Ovis aries: one gene and its partner. Each later gene encodes a partner of the first gene's protein in a complex. Links are inferred from orthologs where the notes say so. Each region holds a gene or a part of one and is shown on either strand. Other genes may lie near its edges.

Evidence for each region.
Region 2: the proteins of ALK (region 1) and ALKAL2 are in contact, whole or in part, in a cryo-EM structure (PDB 9G5I), measured with the Homo sapiens proteins. The link is inferred for Ovis aries from reciprocal best matches to the Homo sapiens genes ALK and ALKAL2. Residues at the interface, in NP_004295.2 of Homo sapiens: Leu684, Tyr739, His755, Ser758, Leu760, Phe856, His857, Glu859, Leu965, Tyr966, Thr967, Pro968, Leu970, Lys971, Val972, Met973, Glu974, Glu978, Asn980, Val992, Glu994, Cys995, His996, Met997, Phe1007, Asp1009; in NP_001002919.2 of Homo sapiens: Ser112, Lys113, His114, His116, Arg117, Leu118, His120, Asn121, Thr122, Arg123, Asp124, Arg133, Arg136, Leu137, Arg140, Leu141.

What each region holds. Positions count from the first base shown.
Region 1 is NC_056056.1:36,062,681-36,066,483, reverse strand, and holds part of ALK (ALK tyrosine kinase receptor), read left to right. Parts: intron 1-1,159; coding exon 1,160-1,258; intron 1,259-1,741; coding exon 1,742-1,894; intron 1,895-3,336; coding exon 3,337-3,441; intron 3,442-3,803. UniProt on the Homo sapiens protein: Neuronal receptor tyrosine kinase that is essentially and transiently expressed in specific regions of the central and peripheral nervous systems and plays an important role in the genesis and differentiation of the nervous system.
Region 2 is NC_056055.1:266,281-270,571, forward strand, and holds the start of ALKAL2 (ALK and LTK ligand 2), read right to left. Parts: upstream 3,048-4,291; 5' UTR 2,974-3,047; coding exon 2,718-2,973; intron 1,375-2,717; coding exon 1,321-1,374; intron 1,235-1,320; coding exon 1,154-1,234; intron 1-1,153. UniProt on the Homo sapiens protein: Cytokine that acts as a physiological ligand for receptor tyrosine kinases LTK and ALK, leading to their activation. Cytokine-binding is sufficient to activate LTK. In contrast, ALKAL2-driven activation of ALK is coupled with heparin-binding to ALK.

The DNA of each region.
Region 1 (3,803 bases):
TTAGTCCTAGGCACCTCCCTCCCCTGTCCTCTCCCCAGCCCTCGCCTGCCCGCCCCCGGCCCACCCCACGTGTGGACTGTGATGTGACCATGCACGCCTTCCTCCCAGCCCGCCAAACAAGCCAGAGGTAGGGTGCTGGCTCCCGAGCCAGCATCCTGCCTCGAGGTTTCGGCAGGACAGCATCAAGATCCCAGTGACTCTTGATCTCCCCCAAAGCTGATGATAAAGGGGCCTTGGCTTCCCAGACTCCTCTCTGAGCCACCCTCAAGGATGCATGAGAACCCTGGAGGCCAGACTCCTCCCTTTGGATGGCCTGGCCACAGTCCTTGCCAAGCCAGCTCCCCGAGGGCCTGGTTTGCACTTTCTGGCCTCAGGGACTCCCTACTCTCCCTTCCCTACCCCAGCCCACCAGCTTCCAGAAGGGGCACTATCCCCCATGCTGATGGGGGCTACTCCTGAGAGCAGCCGTGGGCAATCCCAGCCCAGCGCTTCAGCACGCAGCTGGCCCCTGGCCCTGGCTCTCCTCTGGGCTTCGGAGCAGAGCAAAAGAGCCTTCTGAAGCTGAGAGGCTGGGAGATGATGGCTCCAGCGCCCCCCAGATTAGGACACGATGCATGCACGTGCTGTGATGTGCTGTCTGTGTTTTGCTTTAAGGCTGTGTGTAAGATGCTTGTGTTAACCAGATGCTCTTCTTTTCCGAGCCCTGGGCGGGTGGGAGGAGCCCAAGGCGGGGAGCCCAAAGATAACCCAAGCCCTGCTGAAAGGAGGGACAGGAGCCTAAAGGCACAGGGGCCCATCCCCCTGCCCCAACCCTCACCGGATGGGACAGGAGAGCCACCCCCAGGCAGAGGGGCCAAGGGGCCAACCCAGCCTGGGGAGACTAGAACTTTTCTGACTCTTGATCACATGGACTGCTTCCTGGGAGAGCCCAGCAGAGCAGCAGAGGAGACCGTGGCCCTGGAGGAGACAGTGGCCCGCACACCCAGCAGCTACTGAACCGAGCCCCAGCTGCATCCTGTGTGCCATGAGCTCCCTTCCCTCCCACCGCCCCGCCCTCAAGGCCCCTCCCCGACCCCGCCGCTCACCCTGCTGATACGCACCTGTATCCAGACTCAGGCACCCACCTCTCTGCGTTAAACTCTTCTCTGGTTTGCCACAGGTGGCAATGCAGCCTCAAACAACGACCCCGAGATGGACGGGGAGGACGGGGTTTCCTTCATCAATCCGCTGGGCATCCTGTACACCCCGGCTTTAAAAGGTACCCCCTCTGCCAAGTAGCAGAGCCTGCTTCCCTGGGCTCTCTCCCAGTGCTCCCTCCCTCCCAGCTGAAACCCCAGGGCTACTCAGTGAGTCCAGGACTCACAGGTGTGATCGTGGGTCCCTTGCAGGCAAGTCTTCCTAGTGGTCGCCTCACCACGTTTTCTGGAAATCAGGATGCGTGATCTGATACGTTCACAAAAAACTGACTCCAGGCAGGTCAGCCCTAGGTGAATGCAACAATAATGGGCCCTGTGCTTTGTGGCAGCCAATCTAAGGGTCCTTAGTGTGGACCCTCCCGCCTGCCTACAGGTCCTCTGAGTTTCGCTCACCAGATGCATCAGGGAGCCACCTGCACAGGCGGTGCTTCCAGTGGCAGTGGGATGTAGGAAGAGGGACCGGCAGCTGGAGATGAAGCACAGAGCCCAGGGGTGGGGTGCAGGGTGGCCTCCACCTGAGGCTGACCCTTCCTCCTTGTCACCAGTGATGGAGGGCCACGGGGAAGTGAACATTAAGCATTACCTAAACTGCAGCCACTGCGAGGTAGACGAGTGCCACATGGACCCCGAGAGCCACAAAATCATCTGCTTCTGCGACCACGGGACCGTGCTGGCTGAGGACGGCGTCTCCTGCATTGGTAAGGGGCTGGGCGGTGGGCGGGCACAGAGCTTGAGCCACAGCTAGTTTCCCTGGCTCTGGGACACCTCAGACGCAGCTTTGTAAACTTCCTGACACTGCTGTCTGCCCCCAGCATGGGTGCTCGGACGACAGGCAAAGGGACCTGTGTGCGAAAGGTGGGTCATGGCTTGGGAAGGAGTCATAAGTCACCTGGTCCCACCACTAGCCCAGGATGCGACCCCACATCCCCACCAAGGGGCCAGCTCATCTCCACCAGACACCCCAGCACCAAGGACCTCAGTACTCCTAAGACACAGGGTCTCCCGTTGGGGAGTTACGGAGCCAGACCCATTCTCCTCCCGACTTCCACCCCTCAGCTTCCTGCTTGTAGTGGCCCTTTACGGCGTCTGAAGAGCATGCTGCCTTCCTCCTCCTCAAGTCTCCTCCAGATTAAACAGCCCGTTTATTTCCATCCAGTCTATGGGACATGAGTCTATATCTCTTTCCCATCCTGTTGTTGCAGTTGTCCACGTCCCTTTTGAAATGCCGTGTCCAGGACCAGGCTCGGTGCCTGGTGTGGTCAGTACCATCACGCACCCAGCTCTCCCTCCCACGCGCTGGGCCCAGTGCTCTCGTGGATAGAGCATCAATTCAGCCTTGAGTCTAACTGACAGGCATACTCTATCTTTGGGTCAAACTGAGTTTGTAGTCACCTAAGGCCCCTGATGGCTTCCCTGGTGGCTCAGAGGGTAAGCGTCTGCCTGCAATGTGGGAGACCCGGGTTCAATCCCTGGATCAGGAAGATCCCCTGGAGAAGGAAATGGCAACCCACTCCAGTATTCTTGCCTGGAGAATCCCATGGATGGAGGAGCCTGGTAGGCTACAGTCCATGGAGTCACAAAGAGTCAGCACGACTGAGCGACTTCACTCACTCACTAAGGCACCTGAGGGGCTTCCCAGGTGGTGCTAGTGGTAAGAACCCACCTGCCAGTGCAGGAGACATAAGAGATGTGGGTTCGATCCCTGGGTCAGGAAGATCCCCTGGAGGAGGGCATGGCAGCCCACTCCAGGATTCTTGCCTGGAGAATTCCGTGGACGGAGGAGCCTGGTGCGCTACAGTCCATAGGGTCGCACAGAGTCAGACACGACTGAAGCGACTTCACACGCACACACAGGGCACCTGAACCGCTTCTACAGCCCCTATCGGCTCACTGTCCATCCTCATCCTGTCATGCGCAGCTGATGTTTCAGGTCAGTGTCAAGATTGTGATATTTATCCCTGTTACATAGTGCCTCTCCACAAAAGCTGTTAGAAGTTGTAAAACCAGGATGAAACTGCCCTCATCCTCCAAGAAGGCTGCCGGTCTGTGGGTCCGGGGCTGGGAGGGGTCTTTCTGACATGGGGGCAGCTCAGAGGAGAATCAATGTGGTCATTCGTGCCCCGTGGGGACTGTCTTCCAGTGTCGCCCACCCCAGAGCCCCACCTGCCACTCTCGCTGATTCTGTCCGTCGTGACCTCTGCCCTGGTAGCCGCCCTCGTCCTGGCTTTCTCCGGCATCATGATCGGTGAGTGTCCCAGAGCCCCAGCACTTCCAGAGCAGGGCAGGGAAGGAAGATCTGGCAGAACAGAACGGCATCTCAGGCTGTGCCTTCTCAGGCTGAAGGGTCATTCTGGGCGGCAGTAATGAGGGCAGCCCAAGCCAAGCCAAAGCAGAAGCCCCTCTCCTTCTGTCTCCAGCACACTCCTGGCTCCTAGGAGCCCTGATTCTGAACCTCAGCCCCGTGTAGAGCCTGCTGGCTGCTCAGGGAGGGGTCTTCTCAGAGGAGAACACCATGGCTAAACTTACCACCGCCCACCCCCCACCACCCACCCCCCCGCCCCAGCCTCCTCCAGACCTCAGTTTAGCTGTCATCAGACATGGACTTCA
Region 2 (4,291 bases), on another chromosome or scaffold:
TCCAGGTCCAGGTGCAGCCGTGGTGCGTCCTGGTCCTGCCACCTCACCTTCTGGGTGACCAGGAGAATCGCCGCCTTGCTATTCAGTTATGTCAGCAGAGGAGGCAGCAAGTGTGTGTGTGTGGCGGGGTGTCCCGGGGAGGGTCTGTGGGTGAGTGTGCAGAGTCTGCAATCAGGCACCTGCAGCCCACAGACAGCGCTTGTGCCTCTGTCCCTGTGACCGCGCTGACCGAGGCCACTGCCCCTCCCTCCAGGAGGAGCTGCCTGCCTTCCTGCCGCATCTGGGGATGGGAGAGCTCCACAGAGTGGCTCTGCTGCCTACGCAGAGCAGTTTCCCCTTCCTGGAAAGGGGCTTACTGTTTTGAGCAGGACAGGCAGGTCTGGACAGTCTAAGGACAGTCCTGAAAACTGCTTCTAAGAGGCTTGACTTATTTGCACAGCTGTCCTCCTGTGAGCCTTAAAGGGAAGGGAAGTTGTGGTCCCCACAACACACAAAAATTGGCTAAGGGCTGTAGCACGTGTCACTCTAGCTACTAAGCTTCTTGTCATCATTGCATGTTTTGTGAAGAGCACAAGGAGCCACTTTTGGGGGAAATGAAATACATTTTGTTGTAGATAACCCAGAAAGCTACAGCTGAGAGCCACACGAAGAGGGGCACCTGCATTTCCGAATGAATGATGAAACCAAGCAGAAGAGCAAAGTTTTGAAATTGCAGTAAAACTCTGGGGTGATGAGGTCATAATTACTGGTGGAAACAAGAAGTCTTTGGCCAGGGTGGTGGGAATGGTCCAGAGGCATCCCTCGATACTTTATACCCCACAGTAGTCATTTTAGCAACTCATTTTAAACGTTTGCTCCACTGTCAGAGTTGAGTGGATACAAGGACAGGCATGAGGCCAGAATTCGAGAAATGCACGGAAGAGTCCAGCCCATTCCAAGAGCTGATTAATTCCAGCAAATGTAAACTGTGTTCTGTCTGGCACTAGCTGCGCATGTCGTTATCCTCAGTGGTCTGCTCAGCCCAGCCCCTGACTGCAGTCAACAGGGAGTAAATGTTCGCAAGGCTGGGTGACACAAGCAGGCGCCTGCTCACCCAGGTGGAGGGCCCGTACTCACGTCTACTCTACGCAGTGATTCAGATGTGGTCACTTACATGCGGGGATGGTGCAGTCTCGGGTGTTGTGGTAAAGTCTGTGGAAGTGTTTGCTGCACTTTGGGCTGAAATACAGAGGGCCTGGAGCATGCAAGGAGAAACAGATAGTGAGAGCTCCTGGGAGACCAACACCTGGGGAGAGGGGAAGGAACGAGGGGCAAGCTTACCTGTAAGATGTTTTAGAAACTTGTCTTTCATCCTTAGATCTCGAGGGACAATTTCTGTTTAAGGGAAAAGAACTTGATTATTAACTTGACCAAAAGAAGCCTTTTCTCATGTGATCTGAAGTGGATGTTTAAAATTACTGGATATTCTTCTATACACAGCAATCAAAGCAGTCCCTTGATTGCTGTACACGGCGATATGAGGATGGGTGAGTGGGCACATTGTCCTCGAATCAGGCTCACAACACTCCAAGATCTGCTGCTAACACCGATCTCTACCATCAGGAGAGAGGCAGGGGCCATGAAGTGTGTGTGTGTGTGTGTGTGTGACAGTTATCTTCCAGTGAATAAATCTCTCTAGACACTTCCATCTTGAAGACCTAGAGAATCAAATTCAACAGTCTCTCAAAGTTCTAAGAGGAAAACCTGATATCATCCTTCAAACAAACAAACAAACAGAATCTGCTATAGGCGTGTTCTTCTGGGTATTCACTTAGAAAAAGGGTGAGATTCTGTCAGTACCACCTGTTGTGAAGGCTGGTATGAATGCATGCCCTCAGACATAACCGGGTAGACGAGCTGAAAGTACATTTCCCAGGGAGAGCTGTGTCCGCACAGTCCCAGCTGGTGCTGGTGACTAGCCTGGCTGACATCCTCTCTGCTTTCAGCCTTGTTTCTGCTCTTTCTAACAGTCATCTGGATTCATTTTTCCTCACCTGATCTGCACTAGTAATGTGATGGCATGTGGTCACACTACCACCAATTCTCCTCATTCAAAGAGGGAAAATTTCCATAAGAATCTTGCTTGCAAGGTTTAGACATCTCCTAAATGTCAGTCTTCCCTTACAACTAAGTTTAGTCAGTCTATATAAAATTGACCTTATCATATTTGACCTGATTGTGTCATGAAAGCATTAAAAGCTTGCATGCTTTCCTTGGAAATTTCCCAGAGGGCAGCCACTCTGGGAAGGCTCTGCTGTGGGGATGGGGGTGGGGGGTTCTGAAACATGTCTGTCTCAGTTGAAACCGCTTTGCTGAAAATATTTCCATTTCCAAAATAACAGATGACAGTTCCACGCTGAAATTACCGACCAGGGTAACAACTCACACGTCTTAGATGTGGATGAGGGCTAGTTACGTTATCTGCCAGGCATCATTCATGGAATTCCTATCTCCTTTTTTAAATAAAAATATTTCCCAGCTTTTTTTAAAAAACAGTAGAAATGCATTTATATTTTAAAACTACGTATGCGTTCTCAGAGTTCTATCTCCAAGCAAGTCCTGGTTCTTCCAGCGTCCCCTGATACAGGACAGGCAGACCCGCGGGGCTTGGCCAGCCCCACGCGCAGGAGGCCTTTGCAGGCGGCGCTCGCCTGCACAGCGGGCGGGCGGGGACTCACCCACTCTCTGCTCCTCCGGGTAAGCGTAGTCCGCGACCTCCCTGCGGTCCAGGGTGTAGTCCTGCCGGCCCGAGAGCTGCAGCCTCTTGGACTCCCCCGAGTGGTACTTCCTGAGCTCCTGGACGATCTCCACGATGAGCCGCAGCAGCGTCTGTCGGTCCGCGGCCTCCCGGGGCTCCGCGCCGCCCCTGCCGGGCCCCGCCGCCCCCAGCACGAGCAGCATCCCCAGCAGGAGGGGGCGCCCGGGCCCGTGCATTCTGCGCTGCGCTCGGCCGGGCCGGGTGGGGTCGGTGCGCTCCCGGAGCTCAGCTCGCTGGAGGGACAGGGTGCGGGGAGACCCGGAGAGCCGGTCGGCAGGGAGGGCGGCGAGGCCCCTCCCCTCGGACCGCGCGCCTCGGCCCCCGCGCCCCGGAGGACGCGCGCCGAGCCGGTGCAGGGGCGCCCCGCGCCGTCCGGACCGGGAAGGCCGCCGCGGGGCCGGGGCGGGAGGCTGGGCGGGGTCCCCACGCGGACGCCCCCTCCCCGAGGCCCCTCGCGGGGACGTGGAGAGCGCGCCGTGGGTGCCGCGCGCCCTCAGCGCCGGGCGGCACGCGCCTCGGCCCCGCCGCGGCCTCGAACTTTCCTGGAGATGGCGCATCGGCCGGGGCCCCGCGGCGCGGCGCGGCGCCTCAACTTTCCGTCCCCAGCGGGCGCCGAGAGGGGGCCAGCGGCGGCTCGGGGGCTCGGGCCCAGGCGTCTCCCTCAGGGAGCCGCCGCGCACCCCGGCGAGCCGGGGGTGCGGGCGCCCCGCCCGGCGGCCGGGCTCAAGTTTCCAGCAGCGCCTTTGTGTGGAGGCGGCCCCCTCTTCCCGGTGTCCCCGATCTCCGCCGAAAAGCCCCCGCGACGAGACCCTCGCCCCAGACGCCCGCTGGGCCCGGTTCTGGAAAACCCCTGGCCCCGGGGAGGGAGCCCGGCTCGTACCTGCCCGGCGCCAGCCGCGGGGCCACCTGCGCGCAGGAGCCCGGCCGGGTCGCCCGTCCCTGCGCCCCGCAGCCGTGCGCGTCCTCCGGCGTCCGTCCCCGCGCCCCGGAGCTGGCGCCCGGCTCCCTACTCCATGCCCGGCGGCGCCCGGCCGCGGCGCGCACTGGACGCGCGGGGAGGGCACGCGGCGCGTCGGAGCTGCGGGCGCGGAACTCGCAGTGGCCTGGGGTGCGTGCTGGCGGAGTCCGGCCTCGGACCTCGGGGCGCCTCTTATCCCCGCGGCTGCCGACGTCAGGGCGGGTCCCCCGGGCCCGGCGCCGGTCTTTAATTAGAAGCCGCCGGAGTGTTCGTATCCCCGCGCGGATCTTCGTCAGACACCCCCTTCACCGCCCCCATCTCCCCCCGTCTCCCCGCCCCGCCGGCCCCCCCGCGTGCCCCCCTCCTTCGCCCCGTCTCCCCGCCCCGTCTCCCCCTTCCCCGTCTGCCCCGCTGCCCTGCCTCCCCGACCCCCTTCCCGCCTGCTCCGCTCCCGCCCCCTGCCCACCCTGCACCCCCGCCCCGGCGGCCCCTCTCCCGTCTCCCTCCCCCCTCGTCCTCCCCTTCACCCCCCCTTC